Canis lupus familiaris: one gene and its partners. The protein of the gene in region 6 interacts with the protein of the main gene of each other region in a pairwise test. Links are inferred from orthologs where the notes say so. Each region holds a gene or a part of one and is shown on either strand. Other genes may lie near its edges. The genes, in order: HYPK, DEUP1, TCL1A, KRT20, WASHC3, TXLNA and CCDC146.

The links.
Region 1: the proteins of TXLNA (region 6) and HYPK interact in binary tests that used the Homo sapiens proteins (3 or more experiments, as listed by UniProt). The two-hybrid records come from large-scale screens. The link is inferred for Canis lupus familiaris from reciprocal best matches to the Homo sapiens genes TXLNA and HYPK.
Region 2: the proteins of TXLNA (region 6) and DEUP1 interact in binary tests that used the Homo sapiens proteins (3 or more experiments, as listed by UniProt). The two-hybrid records come from large-scale screens. The link is inferred for Canis lupus familiaris from reciprocal best matches to the Homo sapiens genes TXLNA and DEUP1.
Region 3: the proteins of TXLNA (region 6) and TCL1A interact in binary tests that used the Homo sapiens proteins (3 or more experiments, as listed by UniProt). The two-hybrid records come from large-scale screens. The link is inferred for Canis lupus familiaris from reciprocal best matches to the Homo sapiens genes TXLNA and TCL1A.
Region 4: the proteins of TXLNA (region 6) and KRT20 interact in binary tests that used the Homo sapiens proteins (3 or more experiments, as listed by UniProt). The two-hybrid records come from large-scale screens. The link is inferred for Canis lupus familiaris from reciprocal best matches to the Homo sapiens genes TXLNA and KRT20.
Region 5: the proteins of TXLNA (region 6) and WASHC3 interact in binary tests that used the Homo sapiens proteins (3 or more experiments, as listed by UniProt). The two-hybrid records come from large-scale screens. The link is inferred for Canis lupus familiaris from reciprocal best matches to the Homo sapiens genes TXLNA and WASHC3.
Region 7: the proteins of TXLNA (region 6) and CCDC146 interact in binary tests that used the Homo sapiens proteins (3 or more experiments, as listed by UniProt). The link is inferred for Canis lupus familiaris from reciprocal best matches to the Homo sapiens genes TXLNA and CCDC146.

The regions. Positions count from the first base shown.
Region 1 is NC_049251.1:10,827,206-10,831,399, reverse strand, and holds the start of HYPK (huntingtin-interacting protein K), read right to left. Parts: upstream 2,801-4,194; 5' UTR 2,478-2,800; coding exon of another isoform or gene 2,299-2,477; 5' UTR 2,127-2,298; coding exon of another isoform or gene 1,950-2,126; 5' UTR 1,485-1,949; coding exon of another isoform or gene 1,386-1,484; 5' UTR 747-1,385; coding exon 585-746; intron 255-584; coding exon 199-254; intron 1-198. Other genes in the region: SERINC4 (serine incorporator 4), read left to right, coding at 1,386-1,484, 1,950-2,126, 2,299-2,477, 2,939-3,018, 3,149-3,242, 3,504-3,715, 3,896-3,991, 4,093-4,194. UniProt on the Homo sapiens protein: Component of several N-terminal acetyltransferase complexes. Inhibits the N-terminal acetylation activity of the N-terminal acetyltransferase NAA10-NAA15 complex (also called the NatA complex).
Region 2 is NC_049242.1:7,364,103-7,367,602, forward strand, and holds part of DEUP1 (deuterosome assembly protein 1), read right to left. Parts: intron 2,287-3,500; coding exon 2,181-2,286; intron 1-2,180. UniProt on the Homo sapiens protein: Key structural component of the deuterosome, a structure that promotes de novo centriole amplification in multiciliated cells.
Region 3 is NC_049229.1:64,861,852-64,865,821, reverse strand, and holds the start of TCL1A (T-cell leukemia/lymphoma protein 1A), read left to right. Parts: upstream 1-1,170; coding exon 1,171-1,290; intron 1,291-3,729; coding exon 3,730-3,900; intron 3,901-3,970. UniProt on the Homo sapiens protein: Enhances the phosphorylation and activation of AKT1, AKT2 and AKT3. Promotes nuclear translocation of AKT1. Enhances cell proliferation, stabilizes mitochondrial membrane potential and promotes cell survival.
Region 4 is NC_049230.1:21,757,231-21,761,431, forward strand, and holds the start of KRT20 (keratin, type I cytoskeletal 20), read left to right. Parts: upstream 1-1,401; 5' UTR 1,402-1,470; coding exon 1,471-1,875; intron 1,876-4,201. UniProt on the Homo sapiens protein: Plays a significant role in maintaining keratin filament organization in intestinal epithelia. When phosphorylated, plays a role in the secretion of mucin in the small intestine.
Region 5 is NC_049236.1:41,205,656-41,209,942, reverse strand, and holds the start of WASHC3 (WASH complex subunit 3), read left to right. Parts: upstream 1-1,487; 5' UTR 1,488-1,593; coding exon 1,594-1,644; exon of another isoform or gene 1,645-1,879; intron 1,880-2,270; coding exon 2,271-2,369; intron 2,370-4,287. UniProt on the Homo sapiens protein: Acts as a component of the WASH core complex that functions as a nucleation-promoting factor (NPF) at the surface of endosomes, where it recruits and activates the Arp2/3 complex to induce actin polymerization, playing a key role in the fission of tubules that serve as transport intermediates during endosome sorting.
Region 6 is NC_049223.1:68,417,954-68,422,077, forward strand, and holds the start of TXLNA (alpha-taxilin), read right to left. Parts: upstream 2,801-4,124; 5' UTR 2,652-2,800; intron 2,114-2,651; 5' UTR 2,082-2,113; coding exon 1,904-2,081; intron 1,271-1,903; coding exon 932-1,270; intron 1-931. UniProt on the Homo sapiens protein: May be involved in intracellular vesicle traffic and potentially in calcium-dependent exocytosis in neuroendocrine cells.
Region 7 is NC_049239.1:17,673,170-17,676,669, forward strand, and holds part of CCDC146 (coiled-coil domain-containing protein 146), read left to right. Parts: intron 1-771; coding exon 772-1,000; intron 1,001-3,500. UniProt on the Homo sapiens protein: Essential for sperm flagellum biogenesis and male fertility.

The DNA of each region.
Region 1 (4,194 bases), on a different chromosome or scaffold from region 6:
TCCGCCTCCCCTCCCCTCGGAGTTTTTTACAACAGGCAGCTGGAGGAGGCCTTTCCAACAAGGTTGTAAACCTTATATATGCAAATACTGGTGACAGAGTTGAAGAACGGTACAAGGTACAAAGGCTTAACAATGGCTTTTATTCTCGTATGGGGAAAAGGGAGGAACTTGTAGGGCTGGCCGTGCGCACAGACTTACCGCTCCTGTTTGGCTTTCTGTTCCCGGGACCGTCTGTCTCCGATGACGGACATGGCCTATGAGAAAAACACCTACTTACCGTTCTGTCACCCGCAAGTCCCAATAATCTAAAAAGCTAATAAGCGTGTCAGGGAGGGTCTATTCATGATGACGAGTGTATCAGGAACCAAGGCCTAGGTTTAACTCAATTCTGTGCACGTGAGGTCCACTTTAAACACAATCTCCACCAAACTCTCTTTCGCAAGCGGCGGGCTCCAGTGACGGTTTCCCTCTTGCCTCCTCCCGCCAACGGGATGGGGACCCTGTCCTGGAGCCGGGCTTCCAGTTAGAACCGGAGAGGCCCCTCCGCTATCAGCCCGCCCAGACACGCTCACGGCCAACCTCACCGTCTCCAAATTGGAACTCTGGATCTCCTTCTCCTCCGCGTAGTCGGTGACTCGCTCCAGGTCCGCCGCACCGCTGTCATGCTTCCGTGGCTTCTCGGGAGGCCGCTCCGGGCCGCTGGTCTCAGTCTCCAACTCCAGCTCCACATCCCCCTCGGTAGCCATATCGATCCCACCGTGCCGCTGCACAGGCCCCGCCCCACCTCACCAAGACTTCCGGTAGCTGCCCTGAAACTTCCGCCCGGAGAGGATGAGGCGGGGCTGGGCTCGGGCCACACCTTCACTAATGTTCTGGGTTCTAGAAACTTCAGTCAGGAAGGAGGGTTGCCTCTCAGACTTCCTGTAGGGGTTCTAGTGTTGTTTTCTGCAAGGCCCTCCCACACAGCTACCCCGTCATTACTCCGGCCCTCACCAACCGACATCCTTAGCTTCTCTTCACCTAGATTCTACCCCTTCCAATCCATCCCGCCCCCATCAATTCTGTTCAACCAGGATGGATGACGTCTAGTCCTAAACCAATTAAGGATGCTAATCCACTAGAGGCCAGATTTGCAAAGTGCTCCATAATCTGGGGAGAACAGCCTGTGTGGCCCAAAGGCCCTGCAAAGAAAGTAGCTTTACAGAGACATTTGCATTTACCACATCCGGGAGGTTGGTGTTCCTTTCGTTATGTCCCTCCTCATACTCCTTTAGACTGGGTGATCACCCCCCAGCACCGTGGCAGCCCATGGCTGAGGACAAAAAAAAGCTACTTTCTCATCCTACTTCCATCTGGCGGACCTGGGCCTAATCCCTGGGACAAGGATGGTGGGTGCCAAGGCAGTTACAGAACCCAGCACCTCCCTCCACCTGGCACAACGCAGTGGAATCAGCAATATCATGGTGAATCCTCCCTTCTATCAGGTGAGAGCATACTTGGGCAAAGGGGCTTGAAAGGTCCCTAGAGCAGGAACTAAGAAAATGGAAGGGAATGGTGGCTGAAGCTGGGGAAGAAAACCCAGGGAGCCAATAAAGATGATAGGCCTTCCTTTCCCCTCTGAGGCCTTTCCTTTTCTTAGCTCCTGAAATTAAACCTCTTGTCCCACTTCCCAGTACCAGGTCTATAGGTCTAACAGAAAGGTGAGAGGCCAGGTGTGACTTAGGCTTTTAGGAAGGTCTGCTCAAGCCTGTATCAGCTCTTATGATGAAAGCTCTACTTGATGTCAGTGGAAGGCAATCCTAAATAGCTTGGAACCAGATTCTGAGAATTCCTGAGTGAAAGGAGAGAAGAAAACGAAAGGGAAATTTTGGAATTCAGCCTCATGGGTTAACCTAATACATACATTAAACTTTTCCTCAGCAAATCTCCATCTGCTGCTCTATCCCCAGGTGTCCTGCTGTGAGCCTGTTCCCTGTACCTGCAGCTGCCATTCTAGATGGCCCCTTGTCACAGAGTCTGCTTGTAGCCGCCTGTTCTACATCCTCCTCCACTTGGGGTCCTCAGCAATCTGCTGCCTCCTGCTGTCAAGGACAGTAATGGAAAGAATCTGGGGGAAGGCACATGGGGTAAGAGGGAGGATTCAGGTTGCAACCCAAGAGTGAAAGGTGAAACCCTCAGATAGACAAAAAATTCAGATTGGGGGGTAGGGGACAACTGAATGGATATAACCATGAGAAGCAGGTACCTCTCTATTCATGAATTGCCCTGCTATTTCTCACATGCACTCTCCTCCTCCAGATCCAGATGCCCTCAGGGTTATGTGTCCATCTGTTTGGCTACACTCACTGCCCAGTGCTCAGTGGCTCTGGAGCTGTGTACCGAGTATGCGCAGGAACTGCCACCTTCCACCTACTGCAGGCTATGCTGCTAGTCCAGCTCCACTCCCCCTCCAGCCTGCGGGCACAGCTCCACAACAGGTTTGTGTATATATACTTTGGGTGGGGTGAGACTGGGGAGGAAAAGTAGACATAGGCTGAGTAAAGGAAATTCCAAGATGAAGTAACAGCAGTGTAAAAACTCCAAAAACAGCTTTAAGCTCCTGCTTCTGCCATACTTACTGTGTGACCATGAGCCACATACTTACCCTCTTTGAACTTCTAGTTGCTAAAATGGAGAGAACAGTGGGGTTATTATATGCAAACCCTTTGTCAACTGTGAAACACTGTCCAGATATTATTTAGGTATCTGAGAGAATTTGGAATAAGCTGTGATGGGCCTATTTCCAGCCCTTCTCACGTGGGACTGGTTCCTCCTTTCCTATACTTAGTTGTCTCTTCTCTTCCCTTTCCTATAGTTTTGCTTTCTCCTTTGCCTTCTTCCATAGGCACTGTTCACTCCGCTTTGCCTTTTCTTGAGTCTTGTTTTGTCTCCTAACCAGCTTCTGGATCCTCAAACTGCTGTTCCTGCTAGGTCTCTGTGCTGTTGCCTTCTGCATCCCTGATGAGCATCTCTTCCCAGGTACCTTCCATCTCATATCCTAATCAGCAGGAGTAAGCTAATAGCTTTTCTAAGAAAGAGAGGGTAGGAAGAAAACCAGGAGTAATGACATGGTCAGCTACATTTTCCCACTGGTGCCCCCTACTTGCAGCCTGGCATTACATTGGTATCTGTGGAGGGTTCACGTTCATCCTGCTGCAGTTGGTGCTTATCACAGCCTTTGCCCATTCCTGGAACAAAAACTGGTAAGGAGCACTTAATCCTAAAGGCTCTTCCTGGGAAGGTTGTCTGACATTACTAGACCCAGTAGGGTTGGGCAAAACGCATGACAGGCCAGTGGCCCCCTAACTTCCCACTGAACAGTGCCAAAAAGCTCAGAAACATGAGGACTCTGTAGGCTAGGTGGGATGAGTAGTCACACCAGTGTTCCGGGAGCAGGGGGGGGAATAGTTTATTAAAGGGTAAAGAGTTGGAGCCCCAAGCCACTGCCCACCTCCCACCCTTAGGCAGACAGGTGCAGCCCAAGACTGCCGCTGGTTCCTAGCTGTACTGCTGGCTGCCCTGGGATTCTACACCATGGCAGGTGTGGCAGCTGTGCTCCTGTTCCACCACTACACACACCCAGCTGGCTGCCTGCTCAACAAGACGCTGCTTAGTCTGCACCTTTGTTTCTGTGGCCTCCTCTCCTTCCTCTCCATCGCTCCCTGCATCCGCCTCAGTGGGTACATGCCTTGCAGCATTCCAAATCTGGAAGGCCTTTAGTATAGAAAAATTCGTTAGCTTCCCTAATCTTAGTCAATGGTCTGCTTCCTCCAAAGGGTGGGTGAAAGAAGTATAGATGGATATGAGCAGAAATTACTACCCTGTAGACAAAAGCAATGATCTCCATTCTCCCCAGAGCAACCCCGTTCTGGCCTTCTACAAGCCTCTATCATCAGCTGCTACATCATGTACCTGACTTTCTCTGCACTGTCCAGCCGTCCTCCAGAAAGTGGTAAGGACTGGACCTGGACTCCCCTTGCTAAAACCTTTTGTTCATACCAAATACTTAGCTCTTTTTTTCCTTACCACCTTTCTTCTGTTGCCTTTTTGCAGTAATCTTTCAAGGACAGAATCACACTCTGTGCGTGCCTGGCCTGAGTAAAATGGAATCGCAAACACCAGATACTTCTCTGGCAGTGCTAAGTGCTGGCATCA
Region 2 (3,500 bases), on a different chromosome or scaffold from region 6:
CTCTTAAAATGGAACTTTCAAAATGTAAAAAAGATGAATATACTATCATGAAAAAGGAGTAAACTATTTTTATTTTTTTCAGAGCATTTAGATATTAAAACATGTTCTCCTGCAAAGCTTCCCTCTAAATGAGATTAATTTACTGAGCTCTAAATGACTTTTGGCTTTATTAATTAAAAATGTCAATTTCATCACGGAATACATGACAAAAATAGTTCTACACTGAAAAAAGAGAAATAAAACACTTGCAAGATTCATAATACATGGCTCTTGTTGCTTTTATTACAAGAGAATAGAAATGCTCTCCACAAACACTTCCTGGGAGCTATAGCTATTTATACACAATTCATTTGTTACCTTTCCTGCACAGCAGTGCATTATCTAGAGGTCTCCAAGAGCCTATGAAGAGAATTTGTGCCTAGTGTTCTCTTCCTTCAGAGCACAACTGTGCAGTGTCAGTAGATTCCTTGTTATTCAAAGTGTTATCAAGTCTATGAGGTTAAGAACGGTATAAATATACTTTAGGTGGCTTTAATCAGTCTTTTTATCATAATGCGTTCATTGCAGACACCAATAAAGAACAGTTTTTAAAAAAATTCTATGTTTAAATAGTAAAATCAGTTTCATGGAATTAAGCAAAAATATAAGGAAAATGATCATTAATTCATAATACCTTTTCTACACTTACTAGCTACCTGACAGTCAACTCTTTGGGAGACAGGATTTGTCTTTTGTGTCACTGTATTTCCTACAGAAATAAGCAGAATAGATATAGTCATACTAGATGTGCAATAAATGTTGAATTTATACACACGACAACTAAATTTATGAGCCTCTTCAGGTATGGGAGATCATAACCTTGATATTAATTCATTTGTTCTCCAAATATTTATTTTCACTTTTGTGTGTCAGGCTCTGTGCTGGGATAAATGATGATTCGAAGCCATGCCCAGGTTTTCCCTACTTTTAACAACTGTTTAGATCATATAACATTGAATATCTAGGTGTGGTCCTCAAACCTAAAGACCAGAGACATGAGTAGAAGCCATGATAAGCTCATGGAAAGGAAACTCCAACTAGATTTTGCTACAGGGAGAAGAGAATATACTTGTGGTAGAGAGTTGAGAACCACACGGCCTTTGAGGACAGTGCCCAGGCCTTATCCATGCTTGTATTCCCAGCTCCTGGCAGATTACTTGGCACCAGTTAGGTGTTCAGTGACAAAAGGTGGGTGCAACCATTAACAGTGGCAGCCTTCCCTTGTTGGGTGCTTCATCTGAGCTAGGCAGGCCCTGCTCTAAGCATCTGATGTGCGTTTTTATTTTTATTTTTTTTTAATTTTTTTTCTTAATTTATTTATGATAGTCACAGAGAGAGAGAGAGAGAGAGAGAGGCAGAGGGAGAAGCAGGCTCCACGCACCGGGAGCCGACGTGGGATTCGATCCCGGGTCTCCAGGATCACGCCCTGAGCCAAAGGCAGGCGCCAAACCGCTGCGCCACCCAGGGATCCCTGATGTGCGTTTTTTAAATGGATTTTAACCTAAGGGAAGAGTATGGACTCTGGAGTCAGATTGCCTGAATTCAAATATGATCAATCTGCCTGGTTGCTGTGTAATATGGGGAAAATTACCTAACTTTTCTGTGCTTGACTGTCCTCAAACGTAAAAGATGGTATTAGTACCTACCTCCTAAAGTGGTTTGAAGAATCAATGAGCTGAGGTTTGTTAGGCCCTTAGAGCCCCTCCTGGCGCATGGGGAGTGCTATTTAGGTAGCAAAGTCATTATTCACCCCTTTAAGCCTCATCAGAATTGTATGAGGCAGGTGCTTAGGATCCCATCCCCATCCTAGAAATGAGGAACCCTAGCATCTGGCACAGGCCACTTCCCCAAGCTTATGTACCTACTAGACAGATGGATGCCTGAGTCTGGGCTCTCATACTTCTTGCTGTAAGCTACCTGTGATGGAGCCACAGTTTCCCAGAGGCACAATGAGGATGGAAGGTTTGTGTCTTTTATAGCACTGTGCAGAAAAATGTAAGAATTAGCAGCCTGGTAGGTTATTCTCTTAGGGGAAAATACAGAAGGAAAAAGAAGGGAATGTGAAGGACGGTTTTCCTCTTCCCTTTGTGTTCAGAGACTTCAGATCTGCCTGAAAGGATGAAGCGCATTATTTTCCATACCTTATTCAATTCTTTTTCATGATTTTGTTGATCTAGGGTCACTGAGAACAGCTCTTTCCTTTTCCTTTCTAGTTCTTTAGTAGAAGGTGAATAAGAGGATTCAACTCTACAAATTAAAGTGAAAAAAAAAAAAAAACTTAACTTGGTAAACTGTCCTGATTCTGTCGTTGATTTAGACTATCGTAGGTTGCAGAGATAGACTATTAGTTTATTGGAAAAGCTTCTGTTCCAGAAATTGCAAATTCTCATACATTCAGATCCCATAAGTATTTACATATTTAACTGAGTGCAAATGGTTTTAGTGAAAAAAATAAGAGGTAGCAATTAATATGGAATTTCAATTATACACTGAAAATTGGCAGAATACTGGGTTTGCATATGTAGATAAGATTTTTATATAAAATAACTTGGAACCCCCTTAAAGAAAAGGGAAACGCATCTAACCTGCTTATGCATCATGGGAAGGAACTATGTCAGCAGAAGTCAGAGGGGGGCAACTTCTCCATAAAAGTGATCCAAAATGACTAAATGTGACAGTCTACCCAGAGAAAGCTCAAATACATCTGTTCCTTGGCTGCTTAATTTACAAAATAGAATTGCTAGCACATATGGATACCAGAGGGGAAAAGCAGAAACTAGTATAAAAAGTACCATTTCTACAGGAAGTTTGGAGAAATACAAGCAGGTTCACTTCTACATCAGGGAAGTTGGTAAATGAAAACTCATTAAAAAAGAAAAAGAAAGATAGTCAGGCAAGGACACTAGCATGCTATTGCTTGCCTAATCTGGTAAAGTCTGGTGTTTTGAGCGATGTACCCACCTGTAAGTGAGTACAATTTCAGATGTCCAAAGAACTTTTTAAAAGGTTCCATCAATCAAAAACCTAAACCACACAACACAAAATCCAAGTAGTGATTGAAAAATAACTGAGGGAAATATTGAAAATAAAGGGATCTTTAAAAAAGGTATAAATGAATAGTGATATTCCCTAGGTACTTTATCTAGACTGGATTGCTTTTCTTCTATCAAATATATGTGTTAACTGTAGAAAACAGAGTATATCAGAGTATATACTAGTATAATGTCATCATCAGAAGAAAATCATTGTTGGCATTTTTGTGTATATTAATTATCTTTTTTCTATGTACATGTGTATAAATACATATGTTTCTCATACAATTAAAATGTATCACGCATTATTTTTCAGTCCCCTTTTGTATCCTACTCAGTAATATATTGTGAACATTTTATCTAATATTCTCCTCCAACATTATTTCAGAATCAGTCTTAAATTTTTCTTATTTGCTATTATTTGAAAGG
Region 3 (3,970 bases), on a different chromosome or scaffold from region 6:
TTGTCTCCTCTTTTTGTGTTCCTGGTAAATCCAATTATATATTTATCTCCATTACTGTAGGCCACCTCAGCACTTTCTTGGGAATTAGGTTGTTTGGAGTGGGCAGAGCAGCACATACATACCTTTGCTGTCAGAGGATCAGGGTTAAGCTCATTTTCATTTCTGTGATATCTCGAAAGATCACAGAGTATTTTCTTAGTGCCTGGGCAGAGAGTCAGGAAGGAGCTGGAAGGTGAAGCACCACACTGCAGCCAGGGGTGATGCTTGAGCAACGAGGCCGGGCCTCGCTTTACATGTTTCTCATTGTACTTTATTTTCTTAATTGCCTTAATGGGCATGCGGTGTACTGCAAAATGAAGTGACATTGTTTTCCTTGTTTGCTGTAATTCACAGAGAGCCGGTTTGATCATGAAACCCAGGGACTTTTCAATTCCATTGATCTTGGGGCGGAGAGAAGGGATTCTTTTCAAGCATTCATTTTGAAGGATGTGCTCAGCAATGAATTCAAAGCCTATAAAGGGGAAAAAAAAACCCATGTTTCTTCACCATCGTGTTTCACAATAGCTATTAGATGACCACACCATCATCAAAGCCGTGGAAAATGTGTTTGCGGAGGGGGGTGGGGGTGAGTGGGGTGTCGGGGCTTCATGAGTAGCACTTGGCCAAGGAGACCGAGTCGGACACCCCATCCAGAGGCTGAAGGGGATGCTTGGACCTGGGAGGGTCCAGGCTTCGTTCAGGCTCGCATGATCCGGGAAGATGTGCAGGGGGGCCCGGCTCTGGGTTGCCTGGCATCGACTGTGAGTTCCCAGCAGCGGCCTGGCGTCCCGGTCTCTAGTGGGACGTGAGCAGCCACACACACGCGGTGGCGGGCTCGGACAGTGGGGTCTGGGCGCCCCGGAGAGCCGAGAGGCCTTTGGCACGGACAAGGGGGTGGCTCCCCAGCAGCAGCGGGGAGCGGGGAGGGGGGGACAGCCGGAGCCCAGGCCTGGCCAGGGCGCCCCCCTGCAGGTCCAGCTGCAGACCCGCCCGCGGCCCCGCCCCTCCCCGCCCCCCCGGCCCCTCCCACCCCGCCGCCCGGGGGCGCCCGCGCGCACCGCGACCCACCCGACCCCGCGCTGCAGGGGCTCCCGCGCTGCAGAGGCTCCCGCGCCCGTGCCCCGGGGCGCCATGGGCGAGCTCCCGTTCTTCAGGGCGCACGCGGCCTTGCACCCGGACCACCTGTGGATCTGGGAGACGTCCGTGTACGTGGACGAGAACCAGCGCACCTGGCTGCCCGTAACCATCGAGGTACAGCCGCCCCGGGGCGGGCCGGGCGCGCGGCGTGGGCATCCGGGGTGGGACCACCTGCCCCGACTCCCAGGGGCGGGCGGGGGGGTGGGGGGCAGCGGAGCCTGCTTCACCCGGAACGCAGCGGTGCAGACGCCGAATTAGGAACAAAGATAAAAAAAAAATATTATGGTAGCTCTGCAGGATGTGAGAGGCCTGGAATCCCAGGTCCCCACCACCGTGTCTCTTGGCATTTAAATCTCTGGTTAGGGCACAGGACACCAAGACCACAAAGTGGAGGTTTTTGCATTGTCCTCATAGATCCTGCGTGAAACATACCCCTAGCCCAATGTGGGGCAGGCTTTGTGTCCATGTGATTGAAAGGGCCTGTTTTCTTAATATGTAAAGTTTTTTTTTTTTTAATTTTTATTTATTTATGATAGTAACAGAGGGAGAGAGAGAGAGAGGCAGAGACACAGGCAGAGGGAGAAGCAGGCTCCATGCACCGAGAGCCCGACATGGGATTCGATCCGGGGTCCCCAGGATCGCGCCCTGGGCCAAAGGCAGGCGCCAAACCGCGGCGCCACCCAGGGATCCCTGTAAAGTTTTTTTTTAAGATTTTATTTATTTATTCACAAAAGACAGAGAGAGAGAGGCAGAGGGAGAAGCAGGCTCCATGCAGGGAGCCCTACATGGGACTCGATTCCGGGACTCCAGGATCACACCCTGGGCTGCAGGCCGTGCTAAACCGCTGAGCCACCGGGGCTGCCCTTAATATGTAAAGATTGACTTAAAACCAATAAGAAGGGATCCCTGGGTGGCTCAGCGGTTTAGCACCTGCCTTTGGCCCGGGGCGCGATCCTGGAGTCCCGGAATCGAATCCCACGTCGGGCTCCCGGTGCATGAAGCCTGCTTCTCCCTCTGCCTGTGTCTCTGCCTCTCTCTCTCTCTCTGTGTGACTATCATAAATAAATTTAAAAAAAAAATAAAAAAAAATAAGAAAAAAATGAACACGCAGACTAAAAGTGGTCTAGAGGCTCTAGAAAACTATAAACGAACACAGCAAGAATGGTGATTTCCACTCATATCTTGCAGGATGATCTGAATTATTTAACAATTCTAATTTATCTCATAGATGGGAAATTAAAAACAAAAAACAAATTAAAAACAAAAAACAAAAAATGATTTCCACTTTGGAAAAGTAGTTCTTGAGCAGACACGAATGCCTAGTTTATAGACCCAGCCTGCTTTCCAGGCTATGAGGTTTTGTGGGGAATGTGATAAAATCCTGCTACTCAGCAAGCTGATGCTTGCTGAGGGGTGCAGAACAATAAAATAATTGAAGCTGGTGGTAAGTTGTGTAAGGATGAGAGGCAGTAACGAGTGGCGTGGGGTCTACAGGCAAGACCCCGTCAGAGAATTAATTTGCATTTGTTTGTCATGCTTTTGTCCAATCATTTTATTTGAAACCTTTGTAAGTCTCACTTTTAGATATGCGGGCCTCATGTGTATTTCATAGAGCTGGATTTTGCAGAAATTTGTCCCTGTAGATAAAAAGTTGTGCAGAAACCTATCTAAGGAAGGGTGTGAGCCGCGTGTAGATCTCAGCGAGAATGTTCCAGGCAGAGGACCACAGATGCAAGAGATTACTGGGGATGTGGCATGTCCTGGAAAGAGCAAGAAGGCCTTTGTGGGAGGTGGAGGAACAGGGTGGGAGGTGGAGGACTGAAGAGATGAGGGAGGCACGGGCCCACATTAGTGGGTCTGTGGACCATGGTAAAGGCTGCAGTTTCTTCTGCCCACAATGAGAAGCCACTGGAGGGTGTCAAACAGGAGGTGACATGATTTTTAGACGCACACCCTGGCTGCTGTGCTGTGAGCTGATCGTGGGGCACATGACCAACGAGGTGGCAGGTTAGCTTACTGCAGTAGAGGGGCACTGGTGGAGATGGGGAAAAGTGGTCTCTCACCTGATTGTGGGTGCTGGGGAAATTTGTTTCAATGGGGCATTTGTGGGCACCTGGCTGGCTCAGTCGGTGGGGCAAGCGACTCCTGATCTCAGGGTTGTGGGTTCAAGCCCCGTGTTGGGTGTAGAGATTACTTAAAAAAAATTTTTTTTTAATGAATAAATAAAAGGGGCTGGGCTCTGTGACAAAATAAAGAAGAATCAAAGAAACTGCAGCTAAGGAAGCTCAGGGACGAATGTTCAGTTTGTCAGGAAGACGTGGGCCTGGTGTGGCCCCGTCTGGGTGTCTAGACTCATGTAAGTGCCGGTCATCTCCGCCTGGCCCGATGCCTGAGAGGGGCATGCATGGCGCAAGGGGTGAAGTTGCTGGGAAGAGTGATCGCCAGCATTTCAGATGTCAGCTGGGCCGTGAGGGTGGCAGGAAGGACCCTGGGTATTTGGGTGCTGGGGAGCCTGGGCCCTGAAGGCATGCCCTGGTCTTCCCTTCCCTTCAGACGGAGAGCAGCCTCCAGGTACTCATGCGTCAGGAAGATGTCCCCCTAGGGGAGGCCATGTGCCCCAGCCTGCTAGCCCCATGCCTGCTGCCTTCCATGTGGCAGCTCTACCCTGGAAGAAGATACCGAGGCTCAGACTCCAGTTTCTGGCGCATAGTGTACCACATTGAGGCAAGTGTGTCCTCCTCCTGGACACCGTCGAGTCATCTTGGGTGGGCCTGTCCTGTCCTCCTCGCCTCCC
Region 4 (4,201 bases), on a different chromosome or scaffold from region 6:
CAAAAAAAAAGGGATGCCTGGGTGCCTGAGCGGTTGGGTGTCTGCCTTTGGTTCAGGGCGTGATCCTAGTCTGGGGATCGAGTCCCGCATCAGGCTCCCTGTGAGGAGCTTGCTTCTCTCTCTGCCTATGTCTCTGCCTCTCTCTGTGTCTCTCATGAATAAATAAAGAAAATCTTTTTTTTTTTTTAAAGCATAAAACAGAGATTCTGAAGAGTGGTTATCCATACTTATAAATCGTTGTTATGCAAATCGAAACCACGATATCACCTCATTGTGTTACAGTGGTCATCATCAAAAACACAAGAGATAACAAATATTGATGAGGATGTGGACAAAAGGGAACCCTTGCACACTACTGGTGGGAATGTAAAATGGTGCAGCCACTATGGAAAATAATACGGAGGTTCCTCAAAAATTAAATATAGAATTACCATATGATCCAGCAAACCCACTTCTAGGTATATATCCAAAGGAGACAAAATCACTATCTCAAAAGTATCTGCACTCCTATGTTCATTGTGGCATTACTCACAACAGCCAAGATATAGAGACAACCTAAGATCCACAAAAGGATGACTGGATAAAATCACACACACACACACATACACACACACATTGAAATATTATTCAGTCACAAAAAAGGGGAGAACCCTGCCATTTGCAACAACATAGATAGATCCGGGGGGCATTAGGCTATGTGAAATAAGCCAGACAGAGAAAGACAAATACAGCATGATATCATTGACGTGTGGAATCTAAAGGAAAGAAAAAAAGTCAGACTTGTGGAAACAGTGGTTGCCAGGGCCTGGGGGGGTGTGGGGCATAGAGAAAATAGGGAGAGGTAAAAGGATAAAAACTTTCATCTTTAATATGAATAAGGTCTGAGGATCTAATGTAAAATGTGTGTAGAGTTGATAAGGCTGTACTTAGGAATTTACTAAAAGAATAGAACTTAAATGTTCTCCCCAAAAAGAAAAAGACAAATTTTAAAAGATTCTAAAACATTGTTCTTGATCACCAGTGTAACTTACTATTATGTACCCACATCTGTCTTTTTAGGTACCTAAATTATTCACAATGTTTGCAAATATTCTTCTTGTGTATATTAGGATGAAAAAAAAATCTGTCAAGGCAGGTGCAAAGGCTAAAAGAATACATCTTCCGTTTCCTTTTGTTGCCTCTGTTTAAAAAAAAGGAATCGCCCCTGAGAAAAGCCTCTAAGAAATGCCTCTAGTGATAATTTCTGGAATGAAACTAAACAGATCGCTGTACAAAGGGGAAAAAGAAAAAAACAAAGCAAGGCACGGTGGACAGTGGTGTCAATCCTAAAGCGAGATGTCAGCAGAAGAGGTCAGCAGAGGAGGCGTTTCTTTCCTACGAACTCTATAAAAGGTCAGCTCATCCACCACTGAGACTCAGACTCTGCTCCAGCCATCCAGAAGCTACAGGTGCTTCCTCCTAGAATCCCCAATGGAATTCAGTCGCAGAAACTTCCACAGAGGCTTGAGTTCCTCCCCACAGACCTCTGCACTCAGCATGAGTGGCTCCATGTATAGGAAGGAGGACATGCAGTACTTTGGGGCTGCACCCAGCGTCTATGGGGGAGCTGGAGGTCAGGGCATCCGCATCTCAACCTCCAGGCATATGAGGGGCTATGGGGGTGATCACACCAAAGGAAACCTGTTTGTTGGTAATGAGAAGACAACCATGCAGAACCTAAATGACCGCCTAGCAAGCTACCTAGCAAAAGTGCAGTCCCTGGAAAAGTCCAACTCCAAGCTTGAATCGCTGATCAAGGAGTGGTATAAAACAAACACGCCCAGCGCCAAGGACTACAGTGCATATTACAAACAAATGGAAGAGCTGCAAAAGCAGGTAAGGGATGACGCCTGTGTTTTCTACTCCACCTTTGAGCTGCAGGATATATATACCAAAAGGGCATATATGTTAGGTGGGTCCAAATGGATGTTATAAAGCAATTAGGCTGAAATGCTATATCTAAAAAAATGGTGCATTCTATCATCTACTTTTAGTGCTGGGGTAGCTGACTACATAATTGGATGACTGTACATATTTTTTTTCACTTTTTAAAATCTAATTACATAGAATATATGAAAATAAAATCCATATTTTTGTCAGTTTACCAGGACAAGTCTAAGTGAATAGTAAACTTTTTTTTTTCTGAGAAGAGCTGAAATTTCAATGATGATAAATCTGTTTTTTCACCCAATTCCCATTAACTTTTGAATTCCCAGTCAACTTAGAGATAATTCTTCCTTTAATTTATGTAAATGCTATAATATAAGTATTAAGATACTGTATCATAAATTTGAATGACAAAGTGATTCAGGGTGGAAATAAGGGGAAAGAATATAGCATTCTTTTTTTTTTTTTTTTTTAAGATTCTTTTATTGGGATGCCTGGGTGGCTCAGCGGTTGAGCGTTTACCTTTGGTTCAGGGTGTGATCCCCGGTCTGGGGATCGAGTCCCTCATTGGGCTTCCTTGCATGGAGCCTGCTTCTCCCTCTGCCTATATCTCCGCCTCTCTCTCTCTCTCTCTCTCTCTCTGTCTGTCTCTGTCTCTCATGAATAAATAAATAAAATATCTTTTAAAAAGATGTATTTATTTGAGAGAGACAGAGCAGGGGGATGGGGAGAGGAAAAAGAGAATTTCAAGCAGACTCCCTGGTGAGCACAGAGCCTTATGTGGGGCTCAATCCCAGGACCCTGAGATCATGACCTGAGTAGAAATCAAGAGTCAGCCACTTGACTGAGCCACCCAAGCACCTCAATGACGTCTAGATTTTTAAATGTCCTGCTTAATGATCTCATCATCATCATCACAAGTTCAGAAATCACTTCTACAGGAACAAAATGTTCTATTGCCCCCAATTCAAATTTGTTGCAATACCACAACCTACTCTCACAAAAGATGGAGCTCTGTTTTATCAGTTGTGTGCAATAAAGGATATGGACTTTGCTCCTAATTGAAGGGTTCAGATATGACAGGAGCACTTGCTTTGCTTTCAAATTCTTATCTAACCAAAGGGGGAAAATCCCATTCATTTTCATTTCTATTTTTTTAACATTCATATTCCTTTAAAGCAAAGGCCACCTCCTAACCAGGAAGTCTCTTTTTCTTGTGTTGTATTAGACGTCAGTGAAATTTAAACCAGACTCCACTGTAAGTTACTTTGGGGGTTTCAGGAACTACGGGGAGGTGAGGCAAAGGTGTCTAAATTATCTCTCTGCCAACAGGTCATTCTTCTCAGGCTCCCACTAAAAATGGTCAAAATCAGCAAACCATTCTCCCCTACCTGTCTCATGATTCATGTTTCTGAATCTACTTTGGATCATCCCAAACACATAGACACAGTCATCTGTTCCATTTGGGGCGGGGGGGGGGGGGCAGACTCAGTATAGGAAGGAAGGCAGCTCACTCCAGGACTAGATCTGTTGAAAGAGACATGTCACTGGGGCACCGGTTTAGCGCCGCCTTCAGCCCAGGGCGGGATCCTGGAGACCCCGGATGGTGTCCTATGTCAGGCTCCCTGCATGGAGCCTGCTTCTCCCTCTGCCTGTGTCTCTGCCTCTCTCTCTCTCTCTCTCACTCTCTCTCTCTCTCTCTCTCTCTGTCTGTCTCTCATGAATAAATAAATAAAATCTTTAAAAAATACATGTCACTATAACATCTTTTAAAAGCAGACGAGATCCTTATGTATCGTAGAGAATTCACCCATTAGGTGAATTCCCCCTTTTTTTTAAATCGAGGGCATACCCATCCTGACAGTTCCAGTGCTTAGCACAACTCTCACATAACAGGTGTCCATTCATTTAGCCAATATTTAGTACACACTAGCTGCTGGGTACCATGCTGGGCATTGAGGAATATCATGGTGAACATACGTGATTTAGGGGGAAACAGGCAGAGACAAAAGGAACATTTATCCCACACAGAGGGATAAATGCTAGCAAGGAGGGCTGGGCAGGGCAGTGAGAACATAGGCAGTTCATCCAGTTCTGCCTTGAGGAAATCACCGAGGCTTCCTTTAAGCAATGATGTCTAAGATGAGATGCGGAAAAGAAGTAGTTCACCAAATGAGGAGGGGTAACAAGAATATTCTAAGCAGGAACAACATCAAATGACAGGCACTCAGTAAGGTTTGATGGCTCAAGTAGAAAGAATTTTTCCTTTTTAAAA
Region 5 (4,287 bases), on a different chromosome or scaffold from region 6:
TTTTATCTCCTCCAGTTCCCCACCTTGCTCACTCTGCTTCAGCCACACTGGCTTCCAGGCTGAGATGGCGCTTAGATACATCAGTGTGGGAAACTCCAGGGGTTGGGAAAATGGCAAGGGACTGACAAAGGAAAGACGAATGGCCAGAGAGGTGAGAGGGAAGTCATGAAAGAGTGAATCATGTCTCTCTCCTGCTCAGAATTGTTAACGGCCTCCAGCACCTACAGAAGAAACGTCGTGACATTTCCGTTTAGAATAAAGGTGTGTGTGTGTGGGGGGGAGGTATAAAATGCAGATTTCTAGGCTCACCCCCAGAGGTGCTTGTTTTTCTAAGGTTAGTCCCTGGAATGCATTTTAAGAAGTCCTGACAGCTCCCAAATAGCTGATACAGGTGGTCCACGGATCACACCTCAGAGAAACCTGGAGTCTACTATCAAATGTGGCACCAAAGGCCTTTAATGAGCTGTTCTACTTCTCCTGACTCCTTTCTTACCATTCTCCATTTCTGGAAATTTTTTTTTTTTTTCTCCAACAGAATCAAGCAGCTTCACGTCTTCCCTACATACCATACACACCCCAGGACTCTGTGCCTTTGTAGAAAAGTCCACCCCCAACTGTCTGTCTGCATCAACTCCACTCAAGTACCTGCTAAAAGGCTATCTTCTCCGGTTTCCTCAGATTTAGGAGCACCTGTTATCTGCGGTGTACCTACAAGTACGGGGCCACGCACACCCACGTGGGTGCAGATGCACAGCTTTCTCAGCGCTGTTAGCACCTCTGTCTAGATGCAGCACTTCTGGACTCCGTGTGTCTGCCCTCAACTAGAAGTTTTCTGAAGTGAGCCACTATTTCTGCATCTTTTCAGTGCTGGGTGTCCTGGTTGGTGCACAGAAAGGGCTCCAAGATTGGTTGGTGGCTGCCCTGGGTCCTACAGGTGAGGAGCTGCACGGTTAACATGGGAGCCAACATCTTCAAATCCCTGATGCCAAGTTCGGTCTCGGGGTCTGTGTGTTGTACGTTTCCGACGATCGAAGCGGCTGTCACCTCCGTTAGTGTACGCCTCACTTGTAGCGTCTGACTTTGTGTCTCACGTTCTAAAGCCCTAAGGAAACCAGTTCTGTCTCCTCCTTCGGGGCATAAAGAAACCCCTTCAGGGCAAGCAGGCTCAGTATCTGCATTCCCCACAGGACCGAGGCGAGCATCCGACACTTCCCAGGTATATACTTAAATGTATATACTTTTTATTACCGAACGACTTAGCTATTTACCCGACGGTGGAGGGAAGCAGGGGTAACCCCACTCGCGCCGCCCCCTTCTTAAGATCCCACAGCTAAAGCCGCGGTCTGGTCCTACCCCGCGCCTTGCGTCTGACGTCACAGCCCAGACTTGAACTACCAATCCCAGAATGCCGTGCAAAGAGGCGGGCTCTCCGGGAGCGGTCGCGTGATTGGCGGGCGGAGGTGTTTCCTTCCGGTGGGAAGGGCGCTGGGGGGTGGGCCCAGGGGGAGGTGTTGGCACATCGTTGCCGGGTTGGGCGGGCCGGGTTTGGGAGGGCTTTGTGGGCGAGCCTCTGGTCCCCCACCCGCTGACAACATGGATGAGGACGGGCTTCCTCTCATGGGGTCAGGCATAGACCTGACCAAGGTTTGTAAAAGGCCACGTTGCATTCAGGCGCCCTGGGAGGAGGATGGCCACCGGACGCTCGGTCCCAGGGACGCCCCATCTCTCCGTGTCCACGTCCGTCCTGACCCCCGGCCTCTCCGGTCCCGTCCTCGGTGGGGGGAAGCCCCACAGTTCACTGTAAAGATGCAGGGTCCTTCCTGACCCGTCCCAGCTGGTGGGGTGCCTTTCCCGGGGTCAGTCAGGGGCGCTTCCTGAGTGCGGACTCGCTACGCACGGGGTACGCGACGGCTACAGGGGCAGGTCGCGACCTCTCACCTCACCTCTTCTGTTTGATCCCCAAGTGTTCCGTGTGTCTGTGTGTCCTGCCGTTACCTCCTAAAGTTCGCACTTGTGAATCCAAAGCTCCCTCTTAAACTTTGCAGCTTCTGTCATCATCGGACACCACACTCCCACAGTTTAGGAAAACAAGTTCGTGACTATTTCTAGTACTTCGAGTAACTCCTATAGCATAGGAAAGAGGCCTGTTATTATTACATGGCAAGGAGTGTGTGTGTGTGTGTGTGTGTGTGTGCATAGATGCAGATGTCAGTGGGTTTGCATGGTGTACTTTGTCCTGTACAAACCATGTTTGTCTTTACATAACACAGGTGCCAGCTATTCAACAGAAAAGAACGGTGGCATTTCTAAACCAGTTTGTGGTGCACACTGTACAGTTCCTCAACCGCTTTTCTACAGTTTGTGAGGAGGTAGGTCCGGTGATAATGGTTTAATGGGTAGCTCAGGAACCATCTTACACTTTGAAAGGTGGCAAATGAGTAAAACAAGAATTGCAGTCTATGTGTTCATTTACCAGGACCTCTCGCTGTCCAGGTGTCCTGGTAACCTTCCTTACTTAAATCCTGCTCCATTCTGTACCATCAGTCTTGCACCCCACCTCTGCAGAATTAGTTTCTGGAGGCCTTCAGAGATAGTTTACTAAGTCTGTGACTAAAGAGAACAAAAAGGAATTCACAGTCAAAAACATTACTTTGAAATTTGTTTCTATTACCCCAAAGATTTACATTGTTTTCCCTGAAGATTTACATTTTTAAGTACACATTATTTTCAGTTTATATTAAAATTATCGGGGCACCTGGGTGGCTCAGTCTGTGATTAATCACTGCTGCTTTGGTTAAGCGCATCTGCCTTTGGTTAGATCAGGATCCAGGCACCTGGCTCCCTGAGCAGGGAGTCTGCTTCTCCCTCTACCCCTCCCCCTCCACTCATTCTTTCTATTAAATGAATAAATAAGTAAAATATTTTTTAAAAATACTATTTAACATTCCTTGATGCAAATGATGGTTGGGGAAGTAGCCTCAAAACATAACTTTAGTATCAAATATCCTTGATATCAAATATCAAATATTATGAAAATAATAAAAATACTTTTAGCAAATAACCAGTTAAGGATTAGGTACCAGGTTCAGGGACCCCTGTTTTTTCTTCAAAAGCCAAAAAAGAGAATGGGAAAGAAATGGAACCATGGGTTTAAATTGGGTTTAAGAAAGGAGAAGGAGGAATAAAATGAGATCATTCACAGGTGAGTCAATAAAAACAGTATTTAGTTCACTGTTTTATTTATAAGGTATAGCTTTAGCAAGTAGTTTTTGTTAGATGAATTCCTATTAGCAAAAATTTGCATGGAGACAGGGAAACTATTTTCACATGTATAGCATATGTTATTTTTGTCTAAATTAGCAATCTCTAGCCAAAATCTCTTCTGCCTTCTCACTAAAACAAAAGTGAAATATGATAATTGATAGAGTCAGGGACTCTGTTCCATGTATTTTATCGAACAGGCCCAGAAGTTAGGTGCTTGCTCCCATGAGTTTTATCGTATATTGCTGCCTCTCTAAATGGGATATAGAATCTACTGACCACAGAGCAGTAAACCAAAGATTACTGGATTTAGTCCCTCACTTTTTATACCAGGATAGGCAGGGTGGAGAGAGAGGGTTCAAGGATTGTTAGCAGAGAGGAGCAAATATTCCATCCCCATACTCCTTATCACCAGATTAAAAAAATAAAACAACAACCAGCAAACACACCTATGAAGGCAACTCAGTTAAACTGCCCTGAGACAGGGGCAGCCCCTTACTTTCCTAGTGTTTAGTAATTTTCACTGCCTGGATAGTGAATCCTATTTACTAAAGACTAGATCAAATATAACTAATCCTCTCCTGTTTATTTATTGCCTACGTATTAGCAAAACCACGTGATTCACTCTTTAACCCCCTTCTGTCTCTCTCTCTCTCAGCTTCCCCTCAACTGTTTTGAGTGTCTCACTAGTCCCTACTTCTTCTCTTCCTTAAACCCTAGAGAAAAGTTTGTTGACCAAAAACTCGTGAAGTTTGAAGGTAGTTTATTGCCACCTTCTTCTTATGGATGGTAGTCTAGGGTTGACTCTAACTCATTATTTGCAAATTCATATTTTAGCAGTTTGGATATTTATGTCAATTGTTGACTGGTGTGATGACACTAATATTTATTGTCTGCTTATTCTGTGCTAGGCATTTTACTAAGTGTTCTACATGTATTCAATCATCACAGCCCAGCCCTTTGAGAAAGGTCCAATTTTCTGTGTTTTAGAAACACAGAAATTGAGATGTAGAGAGATTTAAATCA
Region 6 (4,124 bases):
CTCTGCCTGTGTCTCTGCCTCTCTCTCTGTGTTTCTCATGAGTAAATAAATAAAATCTTAAAAAACAAAACAAAATAAAACCAAAAACAAACAAAAAAAACCCTTTCCATTAGGATGACAAACAGAGGGTGGGGAATTAAGGACTAAGACACAGGTATAATATCACTTAACTCTGATTCTTTAACATACACACTAGTCCCCTGCCCCCAATAACTTTCTCTCACTGTGCTTCAGTCAAAGGGGCTTCCTTCTGTCTCCCTGGAGGGCTCCTGTACATAGCACAGCACCAGGCTCCTGAAGTGTCAAACCCAAGAGGCTCGAAAGATCAGTGTGGAGACTGCAAAGCACTAGCACGTAGGCCAAAACCCACACGAGTTTTGTTTGGCTCCCAGCATATTAGTTGTCAATTGTTTTTTTTTTTTTTTTCTTCAGTTGCCAATTGTTAAAAATCCAGAGAGATTTCACTTAACTGCATAATAACAAAGGGGAAAAAAGGAGAAAAAAGAATGAGGGGGGGAAAAAAAAAAAAAGGCTGGCTACACTTAGCCTGTAGTATTATATGCTATCAGCATGGTGGGACCAGATGGCAATCACCCCTTTGGATGAAGTAGGCAATGTCTTGTCCTCCTAGGGTCCCCTGTCTAACTTGGCTTATTTGTGTTTTCAACCCTGGGCTAGTCCAAATCTTACTGTAGAGAAACGAAAACTAAGGAACAGAAAGGAGAAAGGTCTTGCCCAAGTTTACAGAGCAGGTTAGAGATAGTGTTGGCTGACACAGGATCCCATCTACACCCCTCTGTTCTACGGTCCACACCCCTTGCTTGGATCAAACTAATGTGACTCGGTGCTCCAGAAAGTAATTTCCTCTGAATCCTGGGACAGCAGGTTAGCCCAAACATCCCCACCTCACCAGTAGCTGCCCTCTGCTCACCCAGACCCTTGGCTTTCTTCTTCTCCTGTGGCCTTCGGTGATCTCGGTCTCCAACCTCGTCACTGGTCCGGATCTCATCTGTGCCCGGCTCCCCCTTGGAGGTCTCCTTCTCACCATTGACCACTGGGGTCTCTGGCTCAGGCTCCCCATTCCTTGAAGCATAGGTCCGGGACTTGTCTGCATCTTCGGGTTCAGCAGGCTCACCCTGTGCCCCATCCTCACCTGGGCCCCCCTGATTGTTGTCCACACAGTATGTACTCAGGATGTCTTCCAACTGGCGGCTCAGCTCCTCAGAGACATCACGGAGGGCCCCGGACTGAGCAGTTTTGGCTTGTGCTCCTGTGGCAGGGCAAGATGAGCGGCAGAATGAGAAATGAGAAACAAGATGGTTAATTCCATTTGCTGGGATTTTTCAGGCCCAAACTTACTGGTTGGGGCTAAATGTTGCCTACTTTCTTTAAGCCTTAGTTTATTTACCCATAAAATAAGATTATTTCCCACTATTGCCCAATCATGTCTGTTATAGATGTGAAAGGAATCAAGGAAATAAAGCATCCAGCATATAGGGATGGCATGTACCTGGAGCTCAACATCTAGTCCCTCCCTTTCCCCTCCCTGCAAAAATCATTTCTTGCTATTAAAAAAGTTCTAAGAAAGCCTCCAACATGAAGAGTAGTTGCCCACTGGTGAATGCAGCATTTCTAAGCCGGGCTAGCTGGTTGGGTGTCTCATCTGAGCGCCACCTGACTTAACCCTGTCAGAGCCTTCTCTTAAGAGTTCTGCTCCTGTGCTTTGAGTGGGAGGCTCTATCAACACCCTGGGGAAAGAGGGATCTGCGGGTGGCAGTCCTCCTCTCATTCTACATTTCCTCCTTCCTGGGTAAACAGTGGCCTAGGCCTGGAACTCCAGAAGCTATCCTGGCGCACCACAAACTCCTCCCCCTGCCCGCTGGAAAGCAGAAATGGCACACACCCTCAGTCTTCCCTGGAGCCTGGCTGGAGGAACCTTCAGCTTCTGTCGCAGGAGCCGGCTGGCTGGGGCGCCCCTGGGTTCCCTCTGGTCCTACTTCGGCTTGCCCCGGGTTGCTTTTTGGGTTGGAAGTGTTGCCCGACTGCTTGGCAGCCCCGTTCTTTTTGTCTTGGTTCTTCATTGTGGTTTGCAATGCTAGGCTGGAAACAGATCCTATAGAAACAAGCACACTCGCTATATTCCAGACTTCAAAATTCTTCACAGCCTGGATCCGAAATCCCAATCCCGGGTGCACAAAGCTTCTTAGGACACACTGGCCGTCCCTCACCAGAGGGAGCCAACGGTTCTCTCTCTGGCCAGTCGGAGGAGCACGGCGCGCCCAGGCAGGTTTTCGGGGCGCTGCTTCAGAAGCGCGGCAGGCGAGGCCTCCTTTTTCTCGAAGCCGCTTCCCGGCACTACACAGCCCCCTTACCACAGGCCGAGCGCGGGATAGGCTCAGGGCCGGAGACTGACGTGGCGGGACGCTCGATTCCCATCCCTCCTCCGGCCCCCAAGCCCCACGTGGGCCCCCCCGCGCGCAGCCACCCACGCCCCGCGCGCCTCCCGTCCGCGCATGCGCACAGGACCAGCCCTGCCCCCCCCAGCCCACTCCCTCGCGCGGAATCGGCGTGATTCCCTCCACCGACCGAGAGTGTTCAGGCCCACCGACCTGCTGGTCGCCTTGTTCCCCCCAAACCTCCGCAACACGCACCTCACTGCCGACCTCCTGACGGCTTCGCCCGCTCTGGCCTCGCACCGGAAACCCTGGGTAACCGCTGCCGGCCAAGCCGCCTGCTCCTGCCACAGCCAATCAATAGCCGGCGCTCTCGCGGGGCTTGCTGGGAAAGATGAAGCGAAGGCAGCCTGAGGCGGCCTTTGAGGCGGGTGAGTTGGGCAGGCGGAGGGGGAGGGAAAGGACTACATGTCCCTCCATGCACCGCGGCTGACCCCCAACTCCCAAGATGCAATAGAAAGGACTTCAGTCCTGGGAGGCGGATACCCAGGAGGTCTGAAAGGAGCTAGTCATTCTGCACGAATACTGGAATCCGCCTGGTTCCTGTCGTGCAGAATTTATGATTCAGGTCCAGAGCCCTGTGCCTGGCTGTTCTTTCCCGCACGCCCTTACCAGCCTCAACCCTCTGCTGTGAACATCTATGACCAGGAACTCTGATGACAAGGGATAGAGCATTGGGCTGGGAATCAAGACCTGTATTCCAGTTCTAACTTCATCGCGAATTCGCTGAGGGGCCATTCTTTTCTTTCCCAGGCCTCATTTTCCGTATTCAAATGAAAACTTTTCATAACAGTAGTAGTTCTTTGCTTACAGTGTGCTTTCCCACCTACTAGCTTAATCCGCCTATTTACTAAGCTCAGTACTATTTTTTATTCCCATTTGCATCTGAGGACAGTAAGGCAAAAGTTAAATAACTTGTCCCATCGCTATTGAGTAGTGAGTAGGGATTCAAAATCAGAAAGTCTTCCGTTTTACCTCCTGGATTACCCTGACTCGTACCCAGAAGAAATTCACCATGGCACTTTCTCAAAGGATGAGTCAAGGTAATTTGGTGGAATTATTCCCCCCACCCGCCCCAACTCTGCGTTACCAGCTTGAGTCCTTCTCTGGAAGGGGTTGACAGGGCTCTGCAAGAACTTTGGCCTCAGCCAATTCCTGAACATTTTCTCTGACTGGCCCATCCTCTACAGACAAAATCGGAATTGCCATGGGCTCAAGGGGAAAAACCCAAACTTTCTCTAAATGTGAGATCACAGTTCTATATTCAGCTGTCTATACATAATAGAATAAAAGCTACCAACCCCTGTGCCTGGAATTTAATGTGTAAATGGCTTGGCTTTTGTTTCCAGTCAGTTCTGTCCATGCCCTTTGCCTTTTTTGCTCCCACTATACTCTATTTCCAGGATTTCCAAGTTTTTTGCAGGTGCTAGTCCAGTTTCCAAAATGCCCTTCTGGCAAAACTAGTATTTTGAGGTCTAGCACAAAGGTCATTTCAGACCCTTCCCAGTGCTCTGTAGTCTGTCCCAGCTCTCTAGGTCTGGATAGAGCCTTTTTTTTTTTTTTTGGATAGAACTCTTTAACATTTGTAATGAGATATTCAAATTATTTGCTTACAAGTCAATGAACATTACAAGAACTCTTGGCTAAATTGTATTCCTAAAGCCTAGCATC
Region 7 (3,500 bases), on a different chromosome or scaffold from region 6:
AAGATGAACTCTGGGATAATGGCTATGCAGAGTGTGGGAAGAGCTTCAGGGTGCGAAGGACACTACTTTTTCAAACTACTGGCAGGTGTTTTCTCTGAGAGAGAGGGGAAAAAAGTGCTCTTATTTGGCTCTCGGCACAAAACAAATTATTTAGGCAGTATGTTTCCCAGGCCCTGGTCAGACCTGTAGGGCTGGAATTGGAAAATTCTTACTTTGTTTCTTTCCCACATTCTCCTCACATGGAGGGGTCTTTCCCCTGGCGTGATTACAAAGGACAGAGCTTTGCCTGTTTAGGGGGAAATCTGCATCAAAAATATTCAACTTAAAAAAAAAAAAAAAAAAAAACCCTAATAGGCCTGGCAAGTTCCATAGAATCACTGCAGAAACACATTCCCTGGCCCCCTGCCTGGGTACTTCTGGCCAGACCTCGGTTGGCAAGCCGGGCCCAAGAAACGGGTCTGCAGAAAATCAGATTATGGGGTCACTTCATTCATGCATGGGGAATGACATTTTTTTCCCACCCTCAGAAAGCCTTTGGGACTTGCAGAGATACTGTGACCAGCCAACTGCATGATCAGCTCAGAGCAGAGACACTAAACAACCCTCCCTCTCATATCCCCAGGAATACTTAAAGTGTTTAACTAGAGAGCAGACAGTAAATATCTATTGTCTTCTGGAATTCCGTAATGTTGATGTTTTGTGCCCAAATCCAGAGGGAATTACCATAAGTCTCAACTTCCTCTTAGCCTCTGCCTCTCCTTTTGGCCATAGTGGTGTTCAGCTGATACAGCGAGAAGAGGAGGTGTGCATCTTTTATGAAAAAATAAATATCCAAGAGAAGATGAAACTAAATGGAGAAATTGAAATACATGTCCTGGAAGAAAAGATCCGATTCCTGAAACTGAAGATTGCTGAGAAACAAAGACAAATTCACGTGACCCAGAAATTATTGCCAACCAAGAGGGCCCTGGATGCTGACTTAGCAGTGCTGCAAATTCAGGTGGGGGAAACATTCATCAGACGCTTCCTGGGGCCATTTGCCTCCCCTCACTTTATTGGTTTGAAGATCATATCAAGTTCTTACATGTAAACTGAGCCAGGCCCTTCCTGGTACCTGTACAAACCCATGAGTTACGTGTCTTCTTTAAAACTGCCTCTGCTCCAGGGCACCTGGGTGACTCAGTCGGTTGAGCGTCATACTCTTGATTTGGGCTCAAGTTATGATTTCAAGGTCATGAGGTCAAGCCCCACTAGGGCTCTGTGCTCAGTGGGGAGTCTACCTGAGATTCTTTCTCTCCCTCTGCCCCTCCCCCCCAGCTTGCTCTCTCTAAAATAGATAAATTAAAAAAAAAATTCTGCTGCTCCAGGTGGAATTTATGTTTCAGGAATGCAGGCTACAGATGGTTCCCCATGAAGCATTTTCTGCCTTCCTTGGAATTTAAGCCCTCCCGAATCTCAGCACTAGCTTCCTTATACCTCAAAACTTAATGAGTCCAGGCCTTCACTGCCACCAGCATAACTATGTTTTTCATGCTTGCTAGAAAGATCTTGGAGACCATCTCATTCTCTCATTTTTAGAACTCCTAACCTTAGAAGCCGAGATTGCTATTTGTTAATTAGCAATCACATATAATTACACTCCTTATTAATCCCTGTAGTTTCCCTGCCATTGAATAGCCTGGTCTCTGACACAGTCTTTTTAAATGTAGAATAAAGCCAAACAATTTAAACATGAAATAATAATATATAATAATATACATACACATATACATAAAAAATTATGAACATAAAACTACTTTCTTCACATGTAATTGTTTTTTTCTTAATGAAAATAGAAGAAAAAAATTAAATAAAGATTTGTGTCTTACACTTTTTTCCATTGACTCAACGTAGCAGGAACAAATTTTAACCTATAGTGTGTTTTCTAAAATGTCAGATTTGTTTTCAGTTTTTTTTCCTGATGATAAAATTAAAACATGTTCAGTTAATGAAGTTTTGAAAAAATACAAGCATTTAAAAAAATAAAATTCTATTCCTGTGATACAATCACTATTAAAATTATCAAAAATCTGGCAGAGAGCCTTCTGGTCTTTTTCAAGATATATAAGTAAACGGTTTTCATTAGCTCATGTGTAGACAGTTTTGAGTCCTGGTTTTGTTTTTTGGGGTTTTTTTTTTTTTCCATTTAATCTGTCATGGGATTTACATGACTATGGAACCAGATAACGGGTCTACTTTCATATTTTTATGCCATTTGAGTGTGTAAATGCTTTATCAGTGATGGGATCTTTCATTGTGCATAAATGTACCAAGGTTCTAATTCCAGTGTGTGTTTGTTTTTTAAGATTTTATTTACCTATTCATGAGAGACACACAAAGAGAGAGAGAGAGAGGTAGAGACACAGGCAGAGGGAGAAGCAGGCCCCATGCATGGAGCCTGATGTGGGACTCGATCCTGGGGCTCCAGGATTAGGCCCTGGGCTGAAGGCTACACTAAACCGCTGAGCCACCCGGGCTGCCCCATGTATGTTTGTTTTTAGTCATAAGTTCTCCTAATCACTTCTTTCATAAGTGTAGCCTGATGTGGATGGGTTGGCTGGCACTCCCAGGAGTCCCTCAGGTCTCCAAGGTCACCTCCCCAGGATTCCTGTGGGTCTGACTCCTACTACCAATGAGTGGTTCATATGAAGGATAGCCCCCCCCCCGCCACTGGCACACACACTTTCTGGTTCACTTCTATGCCCCATCAATGCAGATTCAGGACCAGCTCCTTCTTCAGCCTACCTGCACAGAACCATTCATGCAAGACCTTAGTGAACTGATTGACGATTTGGGGCAACAGCATGATGGGGTACATTATAGAAATGTGAAGAACCTCAAATTCAGTATCAGATACCCATACCCGCAGAGCCCTACGGGCAGCCACCCCATCACTGCTAACAGTGTCCACGTGTGTTGGCCCATGCAGCACCCTAGCCTGGCTCCATTTCACCTGCTTGCCTTTCCACCTTTCATCCTCTTCTCTCCGCAGCCCCACCACCCCACAGTGTCCCCCAGGCACTCCACACTTGTCTCGATTTTATAGAATAATTTGTCTCTCTCCAGCTCCTTCCCAAAACAGAGCCTCAGGGCCATCTGTGCCCATACTACACTATCAAGATGCCCAGCAGATCAAAAGGACTCTAAATTCATTAAGATCCACAAGAGAGGGATCCCTGGGTGGCGCAGCGGTTTGGCGCCTGCCTTTGGCCCAGGGCGTGATCCTGGAGACCCAGGATCGAATCCCACGTCAGGCTCCCGGTGCACGGAGCCTGCTTCTCCCTCTGCCTGTGTCTCTGCCTCTCTCTCTCTCTCCCTGTGTGACTATCATAAATAAATAAAAGTTTAAAAAAAAAAAAAAAAAAAAAAAAAAAAAGATCCACAAGAGAAAACTTCTCTCCCTGTTGTACAGGCACTTTGTGTGTGTTCATTGCAAATCAGGGCTTCCAGTCAATGGATAA